Tribolium castaneum: one gene and its partners. The protein of the gene in region 1 binds, or shares a complex with, the protein of each later gene. Links are inferred from orthologs where the notes say so. Each region holds a gene or a part of one and is shown in the gene's direction. Other genes may lie near its edges. The genes, in order: CycC, MED8, MED18, MED16, mediator of RNA polymerase II transcription subunit 25, MED21 and MED20.

What was found.
Region 2: CycC (region 1) and MED8 share a complex: the UniProt entries of both Homo sapiens proteins name them as parts of the mediator complex. The link is inferred for Tribolium castaneum from reciprocal best matches to the Homo sapiens genes CCNC and MED8.
Region 3: CycC (region 1) and MED18 share a complex: the UniProt entries of both Homo sapiens proteins name them as parts of the mediator complex. The link is inferred for Tribolium castaneum from reciprocal best matches to the Homo sapiens genes CCNC and MED18.
Region 4: CycC (region 1) and MED16 share a complex: the UniProt entries of both Homo sapiens proteins name them as parts of the mediator complex. The link is inferred for Tribolium castaneum from reciprocal best matches to the Homo sapiens genes CCNC and MED16.
Region 5: CycC (region 1) and mediator of RNA polymerase II transcription subunit 25 share a complex: the UniProt entries of both Homo sapiens proteins name them as parts of the mediator complex. The link is inferred for Tribolium castaneum from reciprocal best matches to the Homo sapiens genes CCNC and MED25.
Region 6: CycC (region 1) and MED21 share a complex: the UniProt entries of both Homo sapiens proteins name them as parts of the mediator complex. The link is inferred for Tribolium castaneum from reciprocal best matches to the Homo sapiens genes CCNC and MED21.
Region 7: CycC (region 1) and MED20 share a complex: the UniProt entries of both Homo sapiens proteins name them as parts of the mediator complex. The link is inferred for Tribolium castaneum from reciprocal best matches to the Homo sapiens genes CCNC and MED20.

What each region holds. Positions count from the first base shown.
Region 1 is NC_087394.1:8,425,934-8,429,923, reverse strand, and holds the start of CycC (cyclin-C), read left to right. Parts: upstream 1-1,190; 5' UTR 1,191-1,319; coding exon 1,320-1,351; intron 1,352-1,402; coding exon 1,403-1,509; intron 1,510-1,558; coding exon 1,559-1,765; intron 1,766-3,605; coding exon 3,606-3,990. Other genes in the region: leucine-rich repeat-containing protein 1, read right to left, coding at 333-835. UniProt on the Homo sapiens protein: Component of the Mediator complex, a coactivator involved in regulated gene transcription of nearly all RNA polymerase II-dependent genes.
Region 2 is NC_087396.1:15,801,447-15,805,544, reverse strand, and holds MED8 (mediator of RNA polymerase II transcription subunit 8), read left to right. Parts: upstream 1-1,490; 5' UTR 1,491-2,574; coding exon 2,575-3,093; intron 3,094-3,139; coding exon 3,140-3,505; 3' UTR 3,506-3,598; downstream 3,599-4,098. UniProt on the Homo sapiens protein: Component of the Mediator complex, a coactivator involved in the regulated transcription of nearly all RNA polymerase II-dependent genes.
Region 3 is NC_087394.1:9,286,397-9,289,130, forward strand, and holds MED18 (mediator of RNA polymerase II transcription subunit 18), read left to right. Parts: upstream 1-1,321; 5' UTR 1,322-1,479; intron 1,480-1,530; 5' UTR 1,531-1,532; coding exon 1,533-2,201; 3' UTR 2,202-2,234; downstream 2,235-2,734. UniProt on the Homo sapiens protein: Component of the Mediator complex, a coactivator involved in the regulated transcription of nearly all RNA polymerase II-dependent genes.
Region 4 is NC_087396.1:16,567,347-16,571,584, reverse strand, and holds the start of MED16 (mediator of RNA polymerase II transcription subunit 16), read left to right. Parts: upstream 1-1,438; 5' UTR 1,439-1,555; coding exon 1,556-1,629; intron 1,630-1,677; coding exon 1,678-1,821; intron 1,822-1,866; coding exon 1,867-2,315; intron 2,316-2,364; coding exon 2,365-2,517; intron 2,518-2,562; coding exon 2,563-2,759; intron 2,760-2,809; coding exon 2,810-3,351; intron 3,352-4,238. Other genes in the region: tyrosine-protein kinase Src42A, read left to right, coding at 1-19, 68-276. UniProt on the Homo sapiens protein: Component of the Mediator complex, a coactivator involved in the regulated transcription of nearly all RNA polymerase II-dependent genes.
Region 5 is NC_087402.1:9,089,832-9,094,125, forward strand, and holds the start of mediator of RNA polymerase II transcription subunit 25, read left to right. Parts: upstream 1-1,494; 5' UTR 1,495-1,592; coding exon 1,593-1,714; intron 1,715-3,021; coding exon 3,022-3,192; intron 3,193-3,240; coding exon 3,241-3,460; intron 3,461-3,507; coding exon 3,508-3,856; intron 3,857-3,901; coding exon 3,902-4,147; intron 4,148-4,194; coding exon 4,195-4,294. Other genes in the region: toll-interacting protein, read right to left, coding at 305-761, 809-1,107, 1,155-1,199. UniProt on the Homo sapiens protein: Component of the Mediator complex, a coactivator involved in the regulated transcription of nearly all RNA polymerase II-dependent genes.
Region 6 is NC_087401.1:8,393,380-8,396,172, forward strand, and holds MED21 (mediator of RNA polymerase II transcription subunit 21), read left to right. Parts: upstream 1-1,466; 5' UTR 1,467-1,654; coding exon 1,655-1,696; intron 1,697-1,744; coding exon 1,745-1,960; intron 1,961-2,010; coding exon 2,011-2,184; 3' UTR 2,185-2,293; downstream 2,294-2,793. Other genes in the region: FAM21 (WASH complex subunit 2A), read right to left, coding at 1-91, 137-332, 476-668, 716-1,035, 1,087-1,206; Set1 (histone-lysine N-methyltransferase SETD1B), read right to left, coding at 2,334-2,507. UniProt on the Homo sapiens protein: Component of the Mediator complex, a coactivator involved in the regulated transcription of nearly all RNA polymerase II-dependent genes.
Region 7 is NC_087398.1:429,539-432,060, forward strand, and holds MED20 (mediator of RNA polymerase II transcription subunit 20), read left to right. Parts: upstream 1-1,193; 5' UTR 1,194-1,329; coding exon 1,330-1,950; 3' UTR 1,951-2,022; downstream 2,023-2,522. Other genes in the region: uncharacterized protein LOC103313212, read left to right, coding at 1-49, 655-726, 774-858, 916-988; Hmbs (porphobilinogen deaminase), read left to right, coding at 2,235-2,279, 2,332-2,404, 2,464-2,522. UniProt on the Homo sapiens protein: Component of the Mediator complex, a coactivator involved in the regulated transcription of nearly all RNA polymerase II-dependent genes.

The sequences.
Region 1 (3,990 bases):
TCCATTTTTTTCGATTATTTCGAATTACTGAGTTATTTTGATTAACAATTATAAACATTAAGAAATTTAACAATAAAAAATACTTTAAAAACAACAATAGTTGCGAACTATATTTTTCTAGGCGACAAAATTCCGTTTTACCATAAAGTAGACAGTGGATAAAATACGATTTTATCCAACCAAAAGCATTAACACACTCGGCTTCGCCTCGTACTACTTTTTCGTTGATAAAATTCGACCTTGTTTCACAAGAGAGTGGAATAAAGTAAAAATAATTTGTCGATTTTTCGAAAACTAAAATTCTTTAATTTTTGGGTAAGTGTCATACTTACCTCAGTTGCACTAAATTACAGATTCCATCTGGTAACTTTGTTAACAGGTTATGCCGAGCCCCCAAGGTTTCCAACTTTGTTAAATTACCAATTTCTTCAGGTAAAGACTCCAGATAGCAACGGTTACACCATAATGTTTCTAACGAAGTTAAATTTCCAATATCTCTAGTCAAGTCTTTAATCGGATTATGGCTTATGTTTAGAGTAATCAACTGAGGCAAATCCTTGAGTACTTCAGGGAAACGATCGAAGTTATTGTACTCCAGAGACAAATTTTGCAAATTCTTGAGCTGTCCGAGACACTTGGGCAGTTCAGTGATTTGATTATGACCAATGTTTAGATATGAGAGGTGGACACAGCTCACCAACAAGGGGGGAAATTTGACAAGGTCGTAATCATCTAGCGCTAAATTCGTTGCTTTAGTTCCATGAGCTTTTTCTATTTTTGCCAAAACCCGGTTTCGCTGAATGTAATCGTACACTGGATTCATTTTTGGAAGCATTTAGAGGTTATGTCGCACAAACTCACTGATTATTTACACAACTTGTACACAAGCACACATTTTTGAATAAATAAGAATCCAAAAAAGAAAACTGGGGGCCCGAGCCCCTACACCATTCCCAACACAAAAAAACACACAAACAATAATTTGTTTGTTGTCACAAGTGGCGCTTTGACATTTGAAGTAGTTCAAATCAACCAAACATTTTCGTATCATATGGTTCGAACGAAACAAACAATAAATAAAATAAATAACAAAACTGAAAAATTAGCGTTCGTTTGTACTTAATTTTAGTATTCTAAGGTCTACAGTTTTAATAAAAGAGGTCGTAGGTTAAAAAACACCACAGTAGTTCCATTGGTTGACACTTGTCACTTGACTGAGTTTCTTTGACCGGTTTCTTTTGCTTTTGTGTTAATTAATAATTGACTGGAAGCTTAAAGTTATTGCCTGTGATTTAATTCAACTCAGATTAGTTTGTGCAATGGCTGGAAATTTTTGGCAAAGCTCACACCAGTAAGTTACGATATGAAAACGGCCCCAAAATCACAAATGAATTTTTTCCAGCCAGCAGTGGCTTTTGGACAAACAAGATTTAATTAGGGAGCGCCAACATGATCTCCAACTCCTCACGGAGGAGGAGTACCAAAAAATATTTATATTTTTTGCTAGCGGTATTATTTATATTAGGTTATTATCAACTCTCTTAATTTATTTTTTCAGTCATTCAAACACTAGGCGAACAGTTGAAGCTACGCCAGCAAGTTATAGCAACCGCAACGGTTTATTTTAAGAGGTTTTATGCAAAAAACTCACTTAAGTGCATCGATCCGTTATTGTTAGCCCCCACTTGCATTTTTCTAGCCTCCAAAGTAGAAGAATTTGGGGTGATTTCCAATTCTAGGTTAATTACAACGTGTCAGACAGTCAGTAAGTTAAGTCACAGTCTCCGTGATGGTCTTAGATGGCTGGTCTAAAAGTTACCAGATATAATTTTCCCAAGTTTTTGTTAAAAAAATTACCGAAAAGCATCCAACTTCGGAACTACGGATATCTAAAAGTTAGGATATGGTACGACGTACAAATAAAACGTTCCTGTCCTTGATATTTCCGTTAATGCCGCCAGAGAACGCTGTTGTTCCATTACCAAGGTTTTCAGAGCAATAAATTTGAAAAAATGGTTGTATTTGTATAACGGTTAACACACAGCAAACAAAAAAAATACAGGCAAATAGAGCATTAAATTCTCAATAGTAGGACATAAACATAATGCAAAAATTTTATCATAAACTATATTTAAAAAAATTTCAAACTTTTACCAATTTGCACTCTGTCCCATAATTTTCAAAACGCTGCGAATACGGTTACAGATATAAATAAGTATATACTATTTTTATTCGAGGGACAAAAATTGGATAAATAAGTCACGTCGAATTTTTTTGAACTTAGGGATCAAATTTTATAAACAGAAACTCTTGAAAAGATTAAAAATATATTACCGGACAATCGTTTAATTTTTTGAGATAAATTGCTCCAAAACTAAAATTAAAAATGTCTATTTAATGAAGTATTGTTTATTATTAATTGACTGATCCAGAAATACTGTCTGTTGACAATACTGAATTAAAATTTTAAATGTTCAAAATTAATTGAAATTTGGTATATGCCTGAAAGTAAATTTATTCATCGAATTATTTGTTTAAAAAAAATTTCCATTTGTTCTGGGAATATTAAGACTAGCTAGTCTCATTGGTGAACCCAAAAGTCAAATTTAATATTTTTAATTATTTATTAATTTAATTTAATTTATTATGTAAAAAAAATATCGCACTAAAAAAATTGGTCAGCTTTGTAAATCTTGTCTTTATCTAAAGATAGCTCGTTGCCGCCTCAACTTTTACCAAAAAATAAGTAAAAGTTAATAATAATTGAAAGAGAACACATTTAATAAAAAAATGAGTTGTATTAATACTTATTAGCGCCACTGTATTTATAAGCATTGGTTGTTCTTCGTTAATTTATATGCTAATATCTAGCTTTCAAGTGTTCAATTTTCTCTAATAAATGTTTTTTTGTAGTTACGACTTTTTTGCTTAGTAACTTCAGCAATTTTTTTATTTCAATTGTTTTAAATTGAAAAATAGCGCTCTAAAAAGATGTCTATAAAATTGCGTATCAATTTAATTTTTTTCATTAAAGTTCAAAAGCATATAACATAAAGGTGCGATTTAAAGAAAATTTAAGAATCACGAAATAACTTAAAAATACGTAAAAGTAGTTACAAGGTTTTTGTTTAGCAGGTCAGTTTAATTCTCTACAAATTTCTTCCTAACATTTTTCTGTATCTTTAATTGTATTCGCAGCGTCTTCTTAAAGCACAAATTAAATAAAAAAATTCTCATGTTTGTCATGAAACTTGTAGTCGTCAGTCTTTCTTAGTCTGTTAAGAGTGCAAAACATTTCTACATTTTTTCCACGTTATTAATGAATTGGTTGGTTTTAAATTAATTTAAAACGATTTGGCGACAAGACGGTATAACGCTCGTAGCGCCCTCAGTTTTACTCTGCCGTACTATTTTTGGTCTCCTAACTTATAGTCCTCCGTATTCAGAACATACCACTCAACAGGGCGACCTCTCGCGGTTATTTAATTAATTACAGTTTAAAAATCCAAAAATTAATATTATATTCTGTCGTTAATAATTTCAAAGCCGTCTAAGATCGAAGGAGGCTAAGTTAAAACTAGCTTTTTTAAACAATCTATTTTCAGTTAAAAATAAGTTTAGTTACGCCTATAGTCAGGAATTTCCATATCGTACGAACCACATCCTAGAGTGTGAATTCTACTTGTTAGAAAACCTCGACTGTTGCTTGATCGTCTATCAGCCTTATAGACCTCTCTTACAACTAGTGCAAGACATGGGTCAAGAAGATCAACTTTTGACTCTCGCCTGGAGGATAGTGAACGATTCTCTTAGGACTGATGTGTGTTTGCTTTATCCACCATATCAAATTGCAATTGGCTGTCTTCAAATAGCTTGTGTCATCTTGCAAAAGGACCACAAGGCTTGGTTTGCCGAACTGAACGTGGACATAGAACGAATTCAAGAAATTGCAAGATACGTTATTAATTTATTCGAGCTGTGGAAGACTTA
Region 2 (4,098 bases), on another chromosome or scaffold:
ACACAGAATTATTTAAAATAGAACAGCATTGATGTAAAAAAATTAATTATGACAAATGTATTTGCCTATAAACGTCTAAAATTATAAAAGTTTCGCATGCAGTCAATGGAAAAATAAAAATGCATGTTTTTATTTAAACAGAAACTGGCAATGTGAAAGTTTGGTGCGAAAATTAGTGGTATCGCAATGCGTATAACCACATTGTTTGTTTGTTTCGTTTTGTTGAAAATTCGGTAGGTTCCAAAAGTAGGGTTATGTTGTCACCCGAAAATGACAAAATTTACACTTTTATGAATTTTGTCTCCATCTCTGCCCTTTCAGAGCGTTATGATAGGATATTTAGGGTCGAAATCTCTACCTTTATTATGTGCTATTGCCAGATAAGGACAAAAGTTCAGAAAGTAGGGTTAGGGTGTATTATGATCTCTTCTGAAGTGTTAAATTTTAACTTTAATGTTTTTTGTGTGCTTTCCTGCTCTTCTAGAGCGCTATTAATTATTATTGAACATGTTTAAGGACAGACAAATCTACCTTGAGTCAACGACATAAATTTCAGTGAGATTTATTGAAAAATGCACTTCTCGTGTCAACCTTTTCATGAAAAAGGGTGTTTAAACGTTTATAAAGGGTATGTTAACGTGTGTTGTTAACTTTACCACGTAATAAAACATAAAGTATAACTTGGTAATTTTTTACTTTAACTACTTCTGGATTTTCAAGCTGAAACTTACACCAAACGATTCCTCTGAGTGCCCTGATGACCGTACACTATGAATTTTCTTGTGCAAATTGAAAATAACATTAGAAAAATAATTTTTATTTTCACTCACTTTTTACTTGAATCGCCATTTTTGTTGATTTTAATTTGAGTTTATTTTTTATAATATCACGTTAATTTTTATTATTATAGTGGATCAAAATGTCGTCTTTAGGTTAGACTATTGCCTACTATCGGTTAGGAACAACATGATCTCCAAAAATATAACGTAGTAATGAGCTCCAGAAGGTTTACGTAGATAGGTGCGTTTTTCCCAAAAGTGAGTTTTTTGAGATCGAACCGCAAGTGAGTCACACTGCGAGGAGACTCCCATAGACAGAAGTTGCAAACATAAGGTGCCAGACCGGTGCCAGTTTGGCTGATTGCAAGTATGTCTTTATCATCGATTCGGTGACGACTATTAGTTTCGTAAACTTAATGGATTTAATAAATATCTTTAACATTAAATGTGATCGTGTCATGTTGGGTAAAATTCTTCCATCTGTGCTGTCTGTGCATCCACCTTTTCAAATACAATTAAGAAATTTTCATAATAATTGTATTTGATAAGGTATTGGCATCATTTTGACGTGAGCAAAAATTAAAAAAATATAAAGTAATCGGAATTATTTTAAATTCGCGCCATTTTTAGTACGTGATGATGCGGCTAGATGGCTTCAGCTAGGAATTCATTGCCAACCATTATGTTCCGCTTCTATTAAAGTGTTATTCTAGGGCCACAGCCATTGCCGTCTCGAACTCCAGGCCGTCAGGTTACTAGCTTTTGTTTATTGTGACGTCATCGTAAGAGTCGTGACATTTGTTCGCATCGTTTGAATATATTGTACTTTTTGGTGTTTTTGAGAGTGTTATTAAGTAATTTGTTGTTGTTTACGAATTTGTTGTTTTGTGGTTGCGTTGTAGGGAATGAATTTTGTGTGTTTATAGTCTTGTGTGACGTGATTTTGACAATTATAGGTTAGGATAGTTTTGCATTATTTTTGTTTATAAATTTGGTTTTATTGTTTTTAATCGTTTAATTTGGTAATAAATAAGCAGATAAGGCATATTTCAGTCTCTAAACCTAACATACTTAATCCTATTGCATTCCTAATTTTAGAAAATGCCGAATAAGTGTTGTGTTCCCAATTGTGTGTCTAACATGAATGGTCCTTATGTACCTATGTTTTCCTTTCCCAAACAAGAATCCCTGCGATCATTATGGTCAAGAAAGATACCCCGAACTAATTGGACTGTTACCAAGAACAGTCGTGTTTATGTGAAATATTTTCGGGATGATTTTATAATAAAATATCACGAAGTGACTAGAGATGACGTAAAATTCTTCGTCATATTCTTATACTTTCGATCACACTTTTACGACTAATTTAAAACATATTTAGCGAATAATAACATGTTGCATTCCATAAGAACCTGTGTTAAAACTTGGATAAAACGGTCGTCTTTAAGTCGCGGTTATTCAAAATTTAGGCCCATAAGGAGAATTTTTGTATTAATAGACGTAACTTTAGACGTTTAAGTACGGCTAGATGGTTTAAACTATCAAAAAATATAAACTTTAATATATGTTTTTCGGGTAATAACAAACGGATAAGGTACTTTAAATCACAACGTATGTCACTATAAAAATTATAGTTGACCGTTCGTTGACCACATTTGCAGTATCAGGATTCTTTAGATACACTTTTCCGTCGTTTCTTGCATAAAACGTTGGACGCAACATAGTTAAAATTAATTTTTTGCAAAAATTCAGAAAGTTAGGTTATGATCATTTAGACTCTTACTGTGACGTCACAATGTCAACATGCAGGCCTGGAGTTCGAGACGGCAATGCCACAGCCGACATACCGTCATCGTGGTTAAGGTTATGTTTTTGTAAACAGCGCCAAAAATACAGCAAAATGCAACAACGGGAAGAAAAACAACTCGAATCGTCTCTCGATTCCATAATCCAGCGTGTCAACGACCTAAAATCATCGATAGCTTCAATGATTTACAAGGTGGAGAATGAATATGAGACCCTCAACTGGCCCACATTTTTGGACAATTACGCCCTTATGTCCGGCCAACTCACCTCCCTTTCGAAGGTTTTAAGCCACGACAAATGCCCCACCCTCAGAAATCTCACAGTACTGCCCCTCATGTTGTCCCCCGAGCGGGACGAACAATTGGCCCAAATGACCGAACACAGAGTCACAACCTTCGCCCATGATTTAGTCCCAGATTATCTTCGAACCAAACTAGAACCGTTGGCGGAGAATAAAATGATGCAATTGGAACACAAGGCGTCAACTTTATCGTATGAGAACGCACAGGTATGTTAAAATTTTTGGTAGAGTATGTTTCAACGCAAACTTTCAGAAACAAATTGCTGCGTATCAAAAGGTTGTGTCCCACGTTTGGGAACTGGTGAGTAAAGCGAGGGAGGAGTGGGAAGTTGAGTCTTCCGCCAGGGGAAGTACGCAGCAGAATTCCAGTGTGGCTGATACTCACTCGCTTGTGGCGGCTGTTGGAATGGGGAAGGGACTCAAGATGGGGGCGAACCCTAACGGTCAGCCCAATCCCACGTCGGGAGGGATGATGGTGCCTCCGCAGGGGCGCCCAGGGGGCACTCCCGGGCAAGGACAGATGCCCCCCAGCACGCAAACCATGACGATGAATAAGGCGCCCTCTGCTATTAAGACTAACATCAAAAGTGCCACCCAAATACATCCATATGGACGCTAGTGAAATAGTTTTTAATGTGTACGGAGATATATTTATTTATTAAGATATAATCTTACAAAAATAACTAAATATAACAGTGGAAACAAAGATTAACACTTTGTAGCGTAATGAGTAGATTATAAAAAGCATTAATTTTATAGACTTTGAAACTATACTATCAACAAATGGTTGAAGTGTGGCTGGTCGGAACGGGTGGCTTTTCCAATAAGTACAGCGGAACTTGAACATTTTCACGATGTATGTTAGCACATGCTACGCATTATATAAAATATAAAACATATAACATTTAGAATACTTGGGACCCAGTCAAACAAAAATTAACAACTTAAAAAAATATTTTCTACAACGTAACGCGGGTGACTGGACCCTGTTTACGTATAATACGCATTTAAAAAAATATAACAAACAACAAATAAAATACTCTTGTGCATAAATTGCAACTATTCTATGGTCATATATTTTCCTTACATGGCAAGAGAATTTTCCTAAGTTTTTGTTCCCTATATACAAAGTGGTACAATAAAAGAATTCAACTCTTTATACTCTCTAATTTGTTAATATACTTTTGTTTCTTAAAATACTGACCAACAATT
Region 3 (2,734 bases), about 860 kb from region 1:
CGAGCCGGTGATGTGAAATTTTGGTGTGAAAATTAGTGGTATCGCCACAAATTGTGTTAAATTTAAGTCTCCAGAAAATTCGGTTTTAAAAGTAGGGTTATGTTATCATTTGGAAATGTCAAATCATTCATTTTTTGGATTTTAGTGTCCGTTTCTGCTCTTTTAGAGCGTTTATAACTATTATTCAATATGTTATAGGCAGATAAATCTACCTTTGAGTCAACGACATAAACTTCAGTGTGATTTATTGAAATGTATATAGGGCAAGAATGAACTTTTCGTGTTAAACATTTTGATGAAAAAGGACGTTTAATCGTTTATAAAAGGCATGTATAGGTGTGTTAAGTTTGCCATATAATAAAACATAAAATACAACAACTTTTCTATAAAAGCATTTTGCAGAACTCTTATTTATTATTTTCACTATTTTCCTCCTTTTATTTGTGCAAACGAGCCGTTGATGTGAAATTTTGGTGTGAAAATTACTGGTATCGCCACAAATTGTGTTAAATTTAAGTCTCCAGAAAATTCGGTTTTAAAAGTAGGGTTATGTTATCATTTGGAAATGTCAAATCTTTCATTTTTATGGATTTTGTGTCTGTTTCTGCTCTTTTAGAGCGTTATTAATTACTATTGAATATGTTATGGACAGATAAATTTACCTTTGAGTCAACGACATAAACTTCAGTATGATTTATTGAAATGTATAAAGGGCAAAAATGAACTTTACGTCTTAAACATTTTGATGAAAAAGGGCGTTTAATCGTTTATAAAGGGCATGTTAAGGTGTGTTAAGTTTACCACGTAATAAAACATAAAGTACAACAACTTTTCTATAAAAGCATTTTGCAAAATTCTTATTCGTTATTTTTACTATTTTCCTCATTTCCTGTAATAACTGATTCGCCCTTCGGAGGCCATTCTGAATACTGTAATGAATTTTTAAAGATAAAATTTGCGAAATCGGAAAATTTTAAAGAATCTTTAAAAATTCATTAAGGTCCCAAGGGGTGTTTGTCCGAACATGATTTTTAACAGTCAAAGGCCCTATCGAAGAGCTTAATCTCCTGCAAAAATAAAGAAAATTGCATATAAAGGGGGTGAAAAAAAATCAGTTTGCATTGCTTGAATATGAGAATAAAAAATGCAGAAATTAAATACAGTTAAGTTTTAATTTGTAATAGAAACTCATTACAATGGTCAGGAGATGTTCTACAAATGTGTTATGCAAGTCAGCGTAACAACTTATTGATGTTTTTATAATGAATTACGATTATTTTGATAATTTTCCTGGTGTGAACTTGGCTGTAGAAAACGAGAATGGTGGGGAAACGGTGCTAGCTCCATGCGCGCAGCCCTTGTCTGGTCGACTGTAATTTTCATGGTGCCACCACCATTTTTGGGGCTGTCTCCGCCGACATACACTGACAACTTACACTTCAATCAAAACATAACCTCCAAAAACTGTGATAATCTTCAGTAATTGTCGGAAATAGGCCGTTTTCCGCAAAGTGATTGTCACTGTTACAGAAATGGGGACTCCTGGCACGGCCATCGACTCCCTAAACGCCGCCCTCAAATGCAACATAATCCCCAACCAGGAGTACCTCCTCCAGGGCTCAGTCTTGGACCAATACGTCGAGGTGCTCCTCCACCGCTTGCGCGGGCTGTGCGACAACGTAGACAGCGGCCCTGAGTCGTTCCACGACCACGAATTGTGTTTCACCCTCCGGGCCACCAACCCAGGGGCCCCCATGGTGCTCCCACTGCGAGTCCGGCGAGCCCTCGACGTGCCCGACGCCGCCTGGCAGCTGCGCTACGTGGGGCAACAGGAGCTAGGCGACAAGAACCGGCCAACAGTCGTCAGATCGAGTATTGACATGGCTTGCAGTTCCACAATTGTTGAATTTTTGACCGAGCTTGGATGCAGAGTGGATTTTGAGTACATCGCCCGGGGGTACATGTTCCGCAAAGGCAGGATGAAAATCACAGTGTCGAAGATTTTCAAAATGGGGAGCATGACGAGTAAGCCGGGCGAAGGCGTAGAAGCGATTTCCCAGAGTTATTTAGTTGAATTGTCCGTTTTGGCCCCGAGTGGACAAGATGCTATTGCGGAGGATATGAGAATTTTTGCCGAGCAGTTGAGGCCGTTGGTTCAGCTTGAAAAAATCGATTATAAAAGACTTGGAAATTTACCGTAATTTATTTATAAATAAAATACAATTAAGATTTAACTAACAACAATCTATATAGCCTTGAAAAATCCTTAAAAAATATTGCCAAACCTTTCCCTAAAACCCTGAATATGTCTTTTTATACTTTTTTAAATAAAAAAGTTAGGGGGTGTCTACTAAAGTGATGACACCTGGTATTTTAACTACTTTCCCAAACTTTGACTGATATCTTAAAAACTAACAGCAATCTACACAGCCTTGAAAAATCCTTAATAAAATATTGCTTAACCATTCCCTAAAACCCTGAATATGTCTTTTTATACTTTTTTAAATAAAAAAGTTAGGGGGTGTCTACCAAAGTGATGACACCTGGTATTTTAACTACTTTCCCAAACATTGACTGATATCTTAAAAACTAACAGCAATCTACACAGCCTTGAAAAATCCTTAAAAAAATATTGCTAAACCTTTCCCTAAAACCCTGAATATGTCTTTTTATACTTTTTTAAATAAAAAAGTTAGGGGGTGTCTACCAAAGTGATGACACCTGGTATTTTAAC
Region 4 (4,238 bases), on another chromosome or scaffold:
GGCAGAATACCATATCCAGGTGAGATATTTCAATTGGTCGGTAAATTGTTGATTGTCGATTGTTTAGGTATGACCAATGCCGAGGTGTTGCATCAAGTCGAGCACGGGTATCGCATGCCGTCGCCCCCCGGCTGTCCCGCGCCGCTCTACGATATCATGTTAGAATGTTGGAACCGTGACCCAATGAAAAGGCCGACGTTTGAGACGTTACAGTGGAAATTAGAAGACTTTTTCACCATGGAAGGTTCAGAATACAAAGAAGCGTCGGCTTACTGAGGTCACGCCCACCCCCCTGCTGACTGGCTGCGTAATTCGATTGACTTACACTACCATTAGTGGGGAGGTGGATATCTATTTCTATGTAACAATAGATAGATATGCCCGTACTCTTATTTCTTGTCGTGACTATGCTTGTGTTTGAAATAATGGTTTGTGAAGTTTTATCAGATTTTTACACGTCGACTAGGTATCACAAACCACTATTTTGCGATTTTAATTTTAAACTTTGCTTCCTTTTATACATCGTGAATGGGGCTCTTCGCTCTGGCTCATCTATTTTTAAATATTCTTTATATAATAATTTATTTTAAGATTTTATGTAATTTTATAGTGAAATTCGACAACGTTAAATTTTCCCCGATTGAAACTTTTAAACGCACAATTCGTGTCTACCAATAAGAATGAAACGATGTGTAATTGTTGCTTGTGCATATTACCTAATTCCCCTAAGTACTTACGCTTTTGCATTTATTTTTTAAAAACGAATAACATTCCTCTCAAGTGACACTATCCGATATCTCTAGCGTTATTTCCCAGATGCCCTACAGTTATTAAAAATCGGTACTAATTTATGAAAGGCGTTGTTTCTTGGTTGTTTTAGTCACAACTTATGTCTTCATTATTTTAAGATTGTTATTAAAGGCATTGTTTATACAGTTATAGGCCATTATGAAAATATTTTTTGTATTATACACTTAGAATATACAATAAAAGTCCTTTACAATTTTCGTTGCAATTTATTCAAACCACCTCCACGAAATAGAGTTTGCTAAATTCTTATAGCACCCACTGGGGCATGACTACTTTAAAAAAAGGTTACTAAATCAGGGGTTTTTAAAGCAGTCGCATGTGGACTTGCTTTACTATTGCAAGGTTTGAAAAGGAACTGAAATAAGACATCCAGTATTTAAACACCAATATCCAATTAAACTCCGCCCAGGTGGGTACTTCTCGTATTTGGATACTTTTATGTTGTCCCTCGTAACGTTGGCAATGTTTCGCGCGCAACCAGTATTGCATCTCCCGAGAATGTACACTCATGAGAATTCTCTACTAATCGCTAACCTTTTATTTTTTTTTCTATCCATCAAACCTAAACTCAGAGCTTACACAATTCGAACAACACTTCGTAATTTACTTTTGTGAGCAATTTTATGAGAATAGAAGATTTCTCGTCAGCGTACATTCACGCGTATGCCCGACAGCTGTCAGGTGTCAAAAATCTGCCAATTCAGTAAAGTTTTAAAAAGATGCTTCATTAGATAAATACCGAAAAATGGACCATATTTTCACCATTAATAAGAAAATAAATAAATCGGTGGACACCAGCAAGCATCTATCATTCACCAAGTACCGCCCAAACGAAAGTTAACCATTTACCAACCGTTTGAATTCCAGACTCGAGAAGTCAACCTTATGCTCGATTTCAAGCTCCAACGTTGTTGCTTTCAGCACGGAATGCAATATCGAAGAAGCGGGTTCCCTCTTTTGGAACTCTAATGTCTACGTCTGCGATTTAAACAGTCCCTGGCAGGTCCACAAGTACGTCCCCAAAAACACTTTCCTGTATTAAACCTCCATTTCCAGAATATTATCAAACTCTTCCCCCATTTCGGTGCTCCAGTGGGACTTTACGGGCGACCTTCTGCTAGTCGCGGACGAAAACGGCTCGATAAAAATTTACAAAGCTAAAGACCACATCCTAAATGACTGGACCCTTGTCCTCCAGACTGTCCTAGAAGGGGAGCACATTCTGTCAGCGGCGTTTTTCCACTCGGGCAAGAAAATCTGCCTCAACTCTGAGAAAAAAGACAGCGCTTTGTACACGGAAAAGTTTCACCATGTCAAGTTTGCCTGCTCTGTTAAACAGTTTGGGGGGCGCCCTGCCAGTGGGGCCCTGCTACTCACAACGACGGGAATGTTGTGCTCGATTTTACTCCCCCAAAGCACGAGCCAGGTCGCAATGGTCATGGCGACAGAAAGCCTGGCCCCTACTAGGATTTTTATCAAAGCTGCTGATATTTGCTATGGCAAAAGTAGGTTTTTTACAAAATCATTTAAACACCAAATAATGTTATTGTGTAGACGGTCATTTTTTGCTCGCTGTGAGTAACGGAGACTTATCAATGCCTATTCAGTGTTATAAAGTCTCTGTCAGGAAAGCTGAAGATAAGTGTGTCATCACAAGCCAGTCTTTACTCAGTTTTTTTCTATTTGAGGCGCCTAAGGAAGCATTAAGTAACAAACTGAGTCATTTAAGCCGTTGTTTAACGTTTGTTTTAGTGGAACAAGTTTCCAAAGAAAAAAATTGCCACATAAGTCATATCAAATGGATAATGAGAGAGGACGCAGATTCGGTGGTTGTTTCAGCCACTAGTGATAAAATAAGCTGTTTGCAAGTGTGGGAATTGAGAGAGAAGGCTTTGCCGGTTCACAAATCACTAGGAAAATCTGAAACTCCCCAGTTTTTTAACACTGTCGTACGTCTATTATCTCATCATGTGATAATCGATACTTACTTATTTTTTAGTTGTGGCAATACCAGTGCCACTTCCAGTATAACAGCAAGGTCACTTCACTAGCTACAAGTAAACTAAGTCTATTAAATAATGTTTCAAGTGGTTATGTCGTGGCCACATTTGCCGACAATTCCATCCATTGCCTCTACAGAGACACTCTAAAACATTTGGTCAGCACCACTTTGACCATTTGTCCGCGTTATTTTGACGAACCTCTCGCCAGATACCCCAAAACTAGCATCAAAATCTCAAACATTGACATGTCCTGGCTCGGCAATATTTTACTCGTGATTGATTCAGACGATAGTCTGCATATGTTTAAGTTACCGCCCCAAATCGACAGCTCAACGCCTCTAAGTGTACCTTACTGTACCACGATTTTAGAGTATTGCATGATGAGCGGTTTTGATTGGTTAGACTTGTTGCTAGTGTTAAGACCTGGAATGTTGGACGCGATATGTGACCGACTCACCGAAAGTTTTAATCGCCAGCCCTCGGCAGTGCAACAGTTTTTCTACGTGCAGTATTTGTGCATGAAAATATCGCTATGCAGGTAGGTTCCTAGTTTACCGACATTGGGTGACAAAATTTTATTATTTAATTATTGTTTTAAATAGAAAGCTTATGATTTTACTGTATTTTTGTATTATGCGAGATATTTTAAGGAGTTTTTACCAGTTTTTTTATAGCAAAGTTAACAGTTTTTGTAATATTTATATTTTTTTGATTTGCACCTTCTTTTTCAAAAATCGAAGTTCCTGTAGAGTATTTCAAAGAAAATGATTAGATTTTTTTCAAATTTTAAATTCCGTAAAGAGTGACAAACTCTAAATTTGAAAGATTACGTTTGAAGAAATTCAACTACTTAAAACACAATTTTGCCAAATTGATTCTTTCTTTACTAAATGAAGAAAAAAACTACCAGTAATTTTGCATCGAGCCAACTATAACCACCATAATATTTTTCAAGTTATTTATAAAGCTTAGGGTTACATTAAAAAAAATGAGATGTTCCCAAACGTAACTTTAAAATGTTTTTTTTAACTTTTTTGAAAACACCAATAAGGGAATAAAGCTTTCTCTTCTAAATGCCCAAATACGATTTCGAAATATTATAAATGACAATGTTGTCGATTTTTGAAAGGGAAGGTGCAAATCTAAACAGTTTTAAAAAAATATAAATACATATCTAGAAAACAAAAGGAAACATAAACACAAAATATTTGAGAAAAATTTGAGTAGCCAAAAAAAAGCAATAAAGAATATAGCTTTTCACTAAAAAAAATGTTTCCAATTTCTGTATAAGCGGAAGTGCCACCACCTTGAAAATATTTTGATACCTGACTAAACAAATTTTTTGATGAATATTGTTATTGGAACCGGAAACACTTTTAATGTGTGCTTTAGGCGCAACACCTCGAATTTTGCGAGTAAAATTCA
Region 5 (4,294 bases), on another chromosome or scaffold:
ATGAGTTGGAATTACGGAGGACTGAATCACTCAATTTTCTATACCAAATAAATAAAGTCGGTTTCGTATTAATTTAACTCAACCCCTTCCCAAAACTTTTAGCCCCCCGTAGTTGGAATTAACAATGGAAATGTTCAAGTAGAAATCGTTAAAAATTAAAATTGCACGATAAGCAAACCAAAAAGCATGGCTAAATTTTGGCACTTGATGAGTTAAAAAATGACAAAAAATGGAATTTTAAAAAGCTACGACTAGAATCCGCAACTAAAGTTTAATTATGGCGTAAATGAGATTACTGATTGATTTATTCAGCCATTTGAAGTAACGAATTAATGGTACCGTCTTTATTGCCCCTGTTGGCCTCAAACACGGTCTTAATCACCTCTTTATCGATATTTGGAAACATTTCCTCGATTTGTTTGAGCTCGGATTCACTCAAAGCAGGCGCGGCTTCAGTAGGAGGCGCTGTAAACACCTTCAAGGGTGTGACATTGCCCCCTGTTACGTTGGGCACCACCATAACAGGCGCCGGTGGTTGATATTTATATGAAGGGAACACTAGATAACTTAACACGAGATTAATCATTCCTTCGACACCTTCACCCTGTTTCCCATTTAATGGGTACCAATCCTCGTGGGTTTCCCCTGCAAGTACCTGTTGGGGGATCTGGAACTGCGTCCAGGCGATGAGTTCGTCCATCGTAAATGAGCGTTCGTCGAAAATTTCTAACGTTATGGTATTAATACCTTGAGGCAACAAACTGGAAATGGAAAAGTAGGGACTTGCTAGTTTTTGAGATGTGTTTACCAGTGAATAACTTTGTTCCATCGCGGGTTTTTGCCGCCGTTCGGGTCCGTATGCGTCTCGTAAACGCAATGCCCGACCCGAATCCGAGCGTAGGGGTCCATTCTGGTCATTCCGTAATTTTTTGCGAGCTTAGCTTGAGCAACAGTGATACTGAGCCTCCCAACGACATTTGTGTACTGTTGGCCACCGCTTAGCTGGTGGTGCAGTGCTATGGCTGTTTGGCGATCCGCTGCCTCTTGTTGTTGCTGAACCGAGGTGCTGATACGGAGAAAATCCTCCGGGAGGGGACCAAGGAGGACCTAAATTTCGGCATTAAAGCACGATTTTTTAAATCATTGGCACCTACCCGACTTCGCCTTTCTCTGACTTTGTCCGTTAGCGCCGATGCCATGGTGTTACACTATTTCAGATAAAGTAAAGACGCATTAATTCACTGTTTGCGGTGTTTGATGACAAATAATCAGCTGTTCACGGCAGACGTCAACACGCCTGACACTAGGGGAAAAAATATAATCCCAGTCTGGGATTAAATTTTATTAGTTTCTGGCGAAAATAGCCAGGTAGTTTTGGTTAAATGCAATCTACTAATAATTCTATTCAATTGATTAGTTTTCCAGACAACATTTTTGCATAATTTGGCTAAAATAAAATTTCATCTGAATGAAAGTGTTGCCATTAACTTGACGTAACATCCCTAAAAATTTGACAGGTATTTTCAATATGGCGGGGTTTGGTGCTTGTATTAAATTGTTTCATTAAAATTGTTTAATATTTTGACTAAACAATGGTTGTGTGTCCAGCTGATCATGGCTTACACGCCGATATCGTTTTTGTTATCGAGGGAACTGCAGTGAATGGTGCTTATATAAATGACCTAAAAACCAATTATATCATCCCTTCGTTAGAGTAAGTTTACTTTTTTTTGTAACTTCTGATGTATTACATGTTTTTCTCTACTACTGCTAAATTGTTTTTATTGCCTATTTGGCTTTACAGTCCTACTTGAAGTTATTTGATATTCTAGATATTCTTTACCTTTCCCAATTTTCTTTTGCACCCGTCACTTTTTTCATCCATTCTTTTCCCTTACCATTTTCGTTTAAAACTTTTTTTCGTATCAAACTTGCACACTCTTACCTCCACAAACTGTGACACTCTCCGCTTAATCTGCACACTGTTTCCCAATCTTCTCTCCAATATTCGTTCTCGCTTTCATTTCTACGTCTAAATCTGGCTATGATTTTCTTATCTTTACTTTACATCTTCCTTAAGTATGAGAGGAGTTCATCCGTCAATAAGCACGGCATATTTTACGTATTACACCTCGATTCTTTTTTCCATGTTATTCTTTCCTGCCTATCTATGTCCAAATCTCTCAATTTCAGTTCCTCTTCCATTGTTCGTCCCCTTTCTCTTATTCTTTTAATTTCTATACACACTTATTCCTTCTTCTCATAGGAGTCTTTTCGTCCTTTCCATCTAACATTTTCATTTGCTTTTTTGATTTCTGTTCAACACTGTTGCATTCACGCAGAATTCTTAATTTCTCTTCAAATCCCACCGCTCTCTTTCCTTAATCTACTCTTAATTTTTTTCTCTTCCTTTTTTTACTATGTACTCTGGCATTTGTTTATTTAGCCTGTTCGATCTCGTATTTCTTCCATCCCCACACTTCTGCTCAAAATAGTCCCTACATTACAGTGCTTTTCCCTAAGCTATTATTTTTCTCTTGAAATTTTCACTAAATTTACGTTCTCCCAAGCTTCAAACATTTCCTAAAACCCCATTTGTTTTTTTTTGCTGCTTCTTTTATATGGGCTGTGTCTGACATCTTGCTACTTATTACTCTCTTCTAACTGAAATAGTGAAGATTGACTAAAATAATACAGTACATATCTGATTCAGATACTTCAAGTCTTTCACTTGTTCTATATTTTTCCTTCCCATTGCCATTCATCCTCTTTTCCGAATTCCCATACTACTTTTCTTTCCAAATATCATCATTTTTGTTGTATCTACATCTACATTTCCAATCTTTTATTTCTCTGTTTTTTCTCGTGATGAATTCTGAACGGATAGTTGAACAAGGTTTGAGGTACTGAGAAATCAGTGTAACCTTGCTTTGTTATGATAAAAATTACACCCTGATACGAAAAAGTAGTAGTAGTAGTTTTTAATTGGAGAATATGTTCTTGTAACTGAGGGACTTTTAGATATTTTAGTCAGGGGAGTATTGATGAGAGCAACTTCCTATCAGAAGGGATTAATTCTTATTACGGAATTGTGGTGTATCAGGCTGCTGATTGCTTACCGCACCCCAGTAGCGACACAATTGGGCCCTTTGTAAGCCCCAGTAAGGTATTAAATGCCATAGACAAACTTGAGTAAGTTCTAACTAGGAAAAGGATCACTTAATGTAAAAATTATTTCAGACTTATAGGAGGTAAAGGCGAGTCTCATGCAAACATTGCTGAAGGTTTAGCCACAACCCTTCAATGTTTTGACGAATTGCAGCAAAAACGTGACAATAACGGCAACATTCAAAAGCATTGTATTCTAGTGTGTAACTCGCCCCCTTATTCTCTAGGGGTTTTTGAAACTCATGCTTACACAGGGAAGACAGCTGAGCAACTAGCAGCTATTTTGCAAGAAGTAATTAACCAAGTGTCTTCCACCAAATTTGCATAATTAACTTTCAGAAAAATATCAATTTGTCGATTATCTCGCCGCGCAAAATCCCCTCGTTGTATAAACTGTTCGAGAAAGCCGGCGGTGATTTGAGCGCTTCCCAGACGAAAAACTACGCCAAGGACCCCCGTCACTTGGTCCTCCTGCGCGGCTTCAGCCTGAAGGAGCGCCCCCTGAGCCCCCCTGCCGGTACCGCCACTTCCGCCCAAACCCAAATTTCTAACACTACCATTCCTATAACCTCTCTCCCCAGCCCCTTAGCCAGCAATGACAGCCCCATCTCGTCATCCTCGTCCGCCAACTCCGGGGTTCCCTCAGGAGTGGGCCCATCGCCCGTCTATCGGCCGCCCAGCGCTCAAGGTATAACCCCCCAACACTCACAAAATGTTACACCAGGCATGGTAGGTATGGTGAACGCCCGAGGGGCCATGATGGGCAACAACCCCATGAACATCCCGCAATTGCCCGCACCGCCGGGCTACCACCAAGCGAACCGGCCCAGATGGCCAGCTATGTTGCCCCCAACGCAGCCCAGGTCGTATCTGCCGCCCAACCAACAGGTTAATACCACCCAAAGTAGCGCACTGATTGCACAGCTGACACAACCCCCGAATTCTATGCCGGGGACTGGGGTTAATCAATTTGGACAAAGTAAAAGAGAAGTTTTTGAGGTGTTTGAGGTAAATTGCGTGTTTTAGTGGGGAATAATTCGCCGCTTAATTCGCAACAGCAACAACCCCAAATGAAAATTAATATTATGAATCAGCAAAATCAGCAACCAAATGTTCAGACGTCGAT
Region 6 (2,793 bases), on another chromosome or scaffold:
GCTTCATCATCGTCATCAAACAAGCCCTTACCCCCTGAAAACAACCCCTTAGGTTCGTCCAAAGGCGGCGGTTCATCGAAAAATAGGTTATCTGGAATTAGCGTTTAGTCTGCGGTCCGCTTCCAAAAACAATTACCGTATTGTGGCGTTTTCTGGATTGGCCGTCGATTGACGTACTCTTGATCAATCACGTTCCCCAATTTCGCCGCCAACTCTTCGGCAAAGTTGGTAGTTGGTTGCACCGGAACTGAGTTTTCACTATCACTCGAATTGACGAAATTTTTCGGTTCAGTTCGCAAGTCCTCAGAACTGGTATCAGAGGTGCCCTTGATCTGGAAAAAGAACCAGATATTGCCCATGGCGACTGGATCGCGACTAAACAAAAAATTCGGTTGGCCGGTTAATAGACCAATAAAATTATGATAATGAATGGATCAAGTGCAACTCAACCAGTGGAAAAACATGTGTAAAGTACCTGTGTTCTGTCGGGAATAATTGGCAACTCTGATTCTGAGTCGCTTTCACTGAAATTATCTGAGACTTTCTCAGTTTCGCTATCGCTGGACGAGTCCTCCAGGCCCACGTGCCACGTCTTTTGCCACTCTTCTGAGCCGATTACGTACGGAAGGGGGCGCTCCAGGTACAAGTCTTTGGGTCTGAGGACAAAACTGGAAAAGACAAACTAGTTTTTGTAAATTATTTAGAAAAAAATTACTTGGGCAAGTCGATATCGTCGTCTTCACTGTCACTGACCGACACCTCAACCTTCTCAAAATACGTCTCCAAGACCTCCAAACCCTTCAAAGCCGCCAACCTGATTTCCTCAGTCTTATCAACCTCTTTCTCCTCGGCTTTCGCCTCAACCGGCTCCTCCAAAGTCTCATCGTCCTCATAAACCCGACTTTCAATAAACTGGCTGTTTCGCAAACTTTGAAACTCGTTTTGGGCTATATTCAACTGGAGACTTGTCTCAGACAGGGAGCTTGTCAAATTTTGCAAGTTATTGTTGATTTCGGTTGTTCGAGTCAGGAGATTCTAAAAATTGAACGCTGAAACGGTTCAATGTGGGCCAAAAATGCGAAATACGTCTGCAAAAGCCTTGAGAGTGTTCAAAAGGGCCACATCTCCGGCTAAATTCCAATTGTCCGAATTTTGGATTATTTCGTCCATGGACCATGGTCGCTCCCACGGCTTGGCCCCGGACATTTCTAAAGCGCTGAACAGGCCTGTAATTGCTATTTTTCATTAATAATAATAATAATTTGACATCTGTCAAAAACTGACTTGGGGACTTTCAACTCGTGGGTTGGCTATTACTCCCCGGTTTTGCGTTATTATTTGATTAAATAAAACCAATTAATTTGTAAATAAAACCGTTCTACTATATTTGAAATCAGGCGTGATAACTAAAATGTAACTTCGGCCCGGTGGGATTAATTTACGCAGACTTTACCCAACCAGATTTGGGTTGGCAATCATGTGTGTTTGTTTTTGCAAGATGTCATTCACCTTCTAGTATTATTCTAGTTATTTCGTACGAATTAATATATTTTGTCGCATATTAAACCTCGGGAGATAACAAATTATCATCAGTGTTGGTTTTTATGTGATTTCGGGTCTTATCACTTGTCGGTGATTGGGTAACATAACCTCAATGGCCGATCGTTTGACCCAGCTCCAGGATTGCATAAATCAGGTAATTCCCCCTAAGACTGTACCACTAATTGCATTCGTGTTGTCGCAGCAAGCCGAGCATTTCTGCAACAGCATTGGGATTTTGCAACAGTTCGCCCCTCCTAGCAAATTCCCAAACTTCGACAGGAGTGGCTCCCAAACCCCCCAGCAACAGAACCAAGAAGACTACGTCCAGTTATTCACAACGTTGATTGCGCGCTGTGCCAAAGACATAGATACTTTGATTGAATCGCTCCCGAGCGAGGAAAATTCAACCGAATTACAGGTACCTATCTACAATGACTTGGTCCGACCGCGGACTAAACACTGTTTCAGTTGCAAAGCTTGCGAATTTTGGAATCAGACAATCAAGAGTCTGCTGAGCGTCTCGAGGCTATAGTTCGTAAAGGTCAGGATCTCTTGGAGCAAATCCAGGCGGCGTTGAGCGACATCGCCCAATCACAGCTGGACATGCAGCATTTGACAAAAGCGGGGAGTAAGGATAGTTAAGTGAGCTGTTAATGAATTTTATTTGCGGTTGTGATGAAAAACAAACACAAATAACCATGTACTATTTACAGAAACATATATACAAATAAAAAAGATAATTTAAATTTTATATAGTAACTAACTCGGTTTAAAGTCTGTCTTGTTTCCCTTTAATTAAGTGTTCCTCGACACGTGGCCGCGCCACACAGACACGGGATTTTCTCGTCCTCGATCGGGAATTTGTAATCGTAAGTAATTTCCTCGTTCACACCTATGCTCTGTTTCGAGTAGATCACTATTTTCTTTTGCGACTCGATTGTGATGACTTTGGCGTAGCAATTCGGCTGTAAAAATCATTTTTTCGGGTTATGGAAGACTGTCGCTTAGGAAACGAAACGAGATACAAAATCGTACCCAAAATGTAAAAATGAGGGCGCTTTGAGCATTATACTGTCTCGGCGCCAAGTCGTTTTAAATTAATTTAAAAACAAATGGACAAATCAAGAACACAAGAAAAATCCTACGAAGAAATTTATGGAGAATAAAATTTTCTATTACACGTACACCAAGAATCATTTAAAAACACATTGTACCTACACCGTTGAAAATGGAAATATGTTGTCGCAAACT
Region 7 (2,522 bases), on another chromosome or scaffold:
TGCGAGGGGGCCAAGTGGGACGTCGACCTCCCTCTGCCCAACTGTACTAGTAAGTTTGATTAGACGCTAAATGGAATTGACCTCCGACCCCGCTTTTTAATTTTTAATGAGATAAAGTGTTGTGTGCGAACAAAGATAACGCCGAAACTCCACATTTCGTGCTTTGTGCGAGTTTGCTAGTTTGGATAAAACAAAGATAAACTGAACGTAAGCCCTACAAAACAATTTCGCATTCGATGAAACTCCCAAACAAAATCTAATTATATTATGGAGTCTACGCCTCTGCCTATTGACTTGTTGGTGTTTCCGTTCAACAAAACGTTCCCGTATTGCTTTATCTCTCTCGCGATGCTCAGTTGTCAACGGAAAATCGTGTAGGAACCACGTGGATTACCTAGAGGCGTTTTTCGCGATAAAAAGAATTGTAGGAGTTTGCACTAACGAGGCAAATAGTGAGTGTTTCTAGAGTTTTTTTTCATGTAATTGTATTTTTAGCGTCCAATTAGACAAAGCAGTTGAGGTTATATTGTATTGTTATAAAAAAAATCATTATGAAAAGTTTTGTTGTTATCAAATTGCGGAATTGCGCTTCAGACCACATTCATTAAGTCAGCGGCGACTCGTGAACAAGGCTAAATTTACTCATTTTTTCAGAAAAACTTCAACAAAAGCCTCTGCTAACTGTTCAAGACATCGGAAAATCGAAAAATATCGAAATGGTTTCAGGTAACGCATTTTATGATTTGTTTAGGTTGCTGTTAATTTTTTTTCAGATGTTTTAGCACCGGCCTTACTCATAGCGGCTTTATTTTTGATAAATTTTATGGTTCTATTTTACATTTATAAAATTAAGCAAAAGTAAGTTGCTAATTTAGACTAATTTTTTTTCATCCATTGATCTTGTTTTTTTTTTAGACACGCTGAAGAATTTGCTGACGAAGAATTAGGAACGTTGCCACTGTCAAGTTGTGAGAAAGCCTCGCCTTGAATTATTTATTTGTAAAAATGACACTTTTATAATAAAAGTTTTATTTAATAATCGCTATTTTATTCCACCACTTTGAAAGTTGCAGTTTGGCGCGTAAGAACACTAGGAATTTTCGTTAGCTAAGGTTTACCAAAATAAAAACGCAATTTTCAAAAAAATTTATTGTTATAAATCAAATCCAAAAATACGGTAAATATAAAACATATGTTTACATTATGATTCAAGAGATAAGGGGTCAACGACTTTGAACTTGTAGCATTTTTGACACCTAGCTAAGTTGGCACCACTGACGATCATTAAGCTATAATAACCTCAATTTAGCCCCCAAAAATCCACTTAAAATGGGGGTCACAGTGTTACAACAGTTCCCCACAGAGAACCGCACGGGGCCCTCCACCATTGAGCTCCTCTCGAAGCGAATTTCCGCCCTGGGGGCCCTGCAACAGGGCCAGTTTCTCGTCGATTGCGAAACGTTTACTTCTTGTGCCGCTTTGGGACACCAACGTACAGTCCACGTCCTTCACAATTCCGAGCAGCCGGCGACTGTTTTTTCGATCCTTGAGACAGGCCAAAAGACCATTCCTCTCGCAACTGACGGCCTTTTTGATCTCCTGATGATGAAAATGTCCGGTTTTTACTCATCAAAAAAACAGACTAAGGCCGAGTCGAAGGGGCCGCGATACGAAATCGGTGATTTTTGTGTAAAATTGGGAACAGTGACTGTAAGTCAGAACTTTCGGGGGGTTCTGGTTGAAGTAGAGTATCGACCATGTGTGGTGCCTGCGATGTGTTGGGAGTTGATGCGGGAGTTTCTGCAGGGGTTTTTGGGGTCGTCGGTGCCTGCAACGCCCCCACCGTATTTGCAAAACAGGATGCAGGAGTTGTATACCCCCATTGATACAATTCATCAGTATTTGGAGCAGTTTACGATATTTAGGAAGGCCCCCGGTTTAAGGCCCTAATTTTAAGCTAATTTATTGTAAGGTTCAAAGTTTTTGTAAAGAAAAAATTAAATAAAAACAATTTTGAGGTTATATTGTCTTTCTCTTTTACTCCCACACATTAGACTATTATGCGTCTTTGTCTAATTACATAATTTGGAAAGTTGATTGTTCACCTCTATCAGCACTTACGTAGGGCAGAATGTGATAGTGGTGATGAAGCAGTTTTTTTTCAATAAAACAGCATGAAAACATAATCATGCGTTTGCGGTAATTGTTCCTTACTTGAGAGAAAAAGCACAAAAATGAGTGAGATTGAGAAAATCCGGGTTGGATCCCGGAAAAGCGAGGTATTTATCACGTGTTTGTTATTGTGGGCTCTTTTTCATTTGACATTTTCAGCTGGCTCTCATTCAAACGCGACATGTGATTTCACTGCTCAAAAAAATTCATCCTGGGAAGGATTTTGAAATTGGTGAGGTTTCGCAAAAAATTCCCAAAATTTATTTATTTATTTCAAAAATTTATTTTTAGTAACAATGAGTACATTAGGAGATAAAGTCCTAGATATACCGTTACCAAAAATTGGTGAA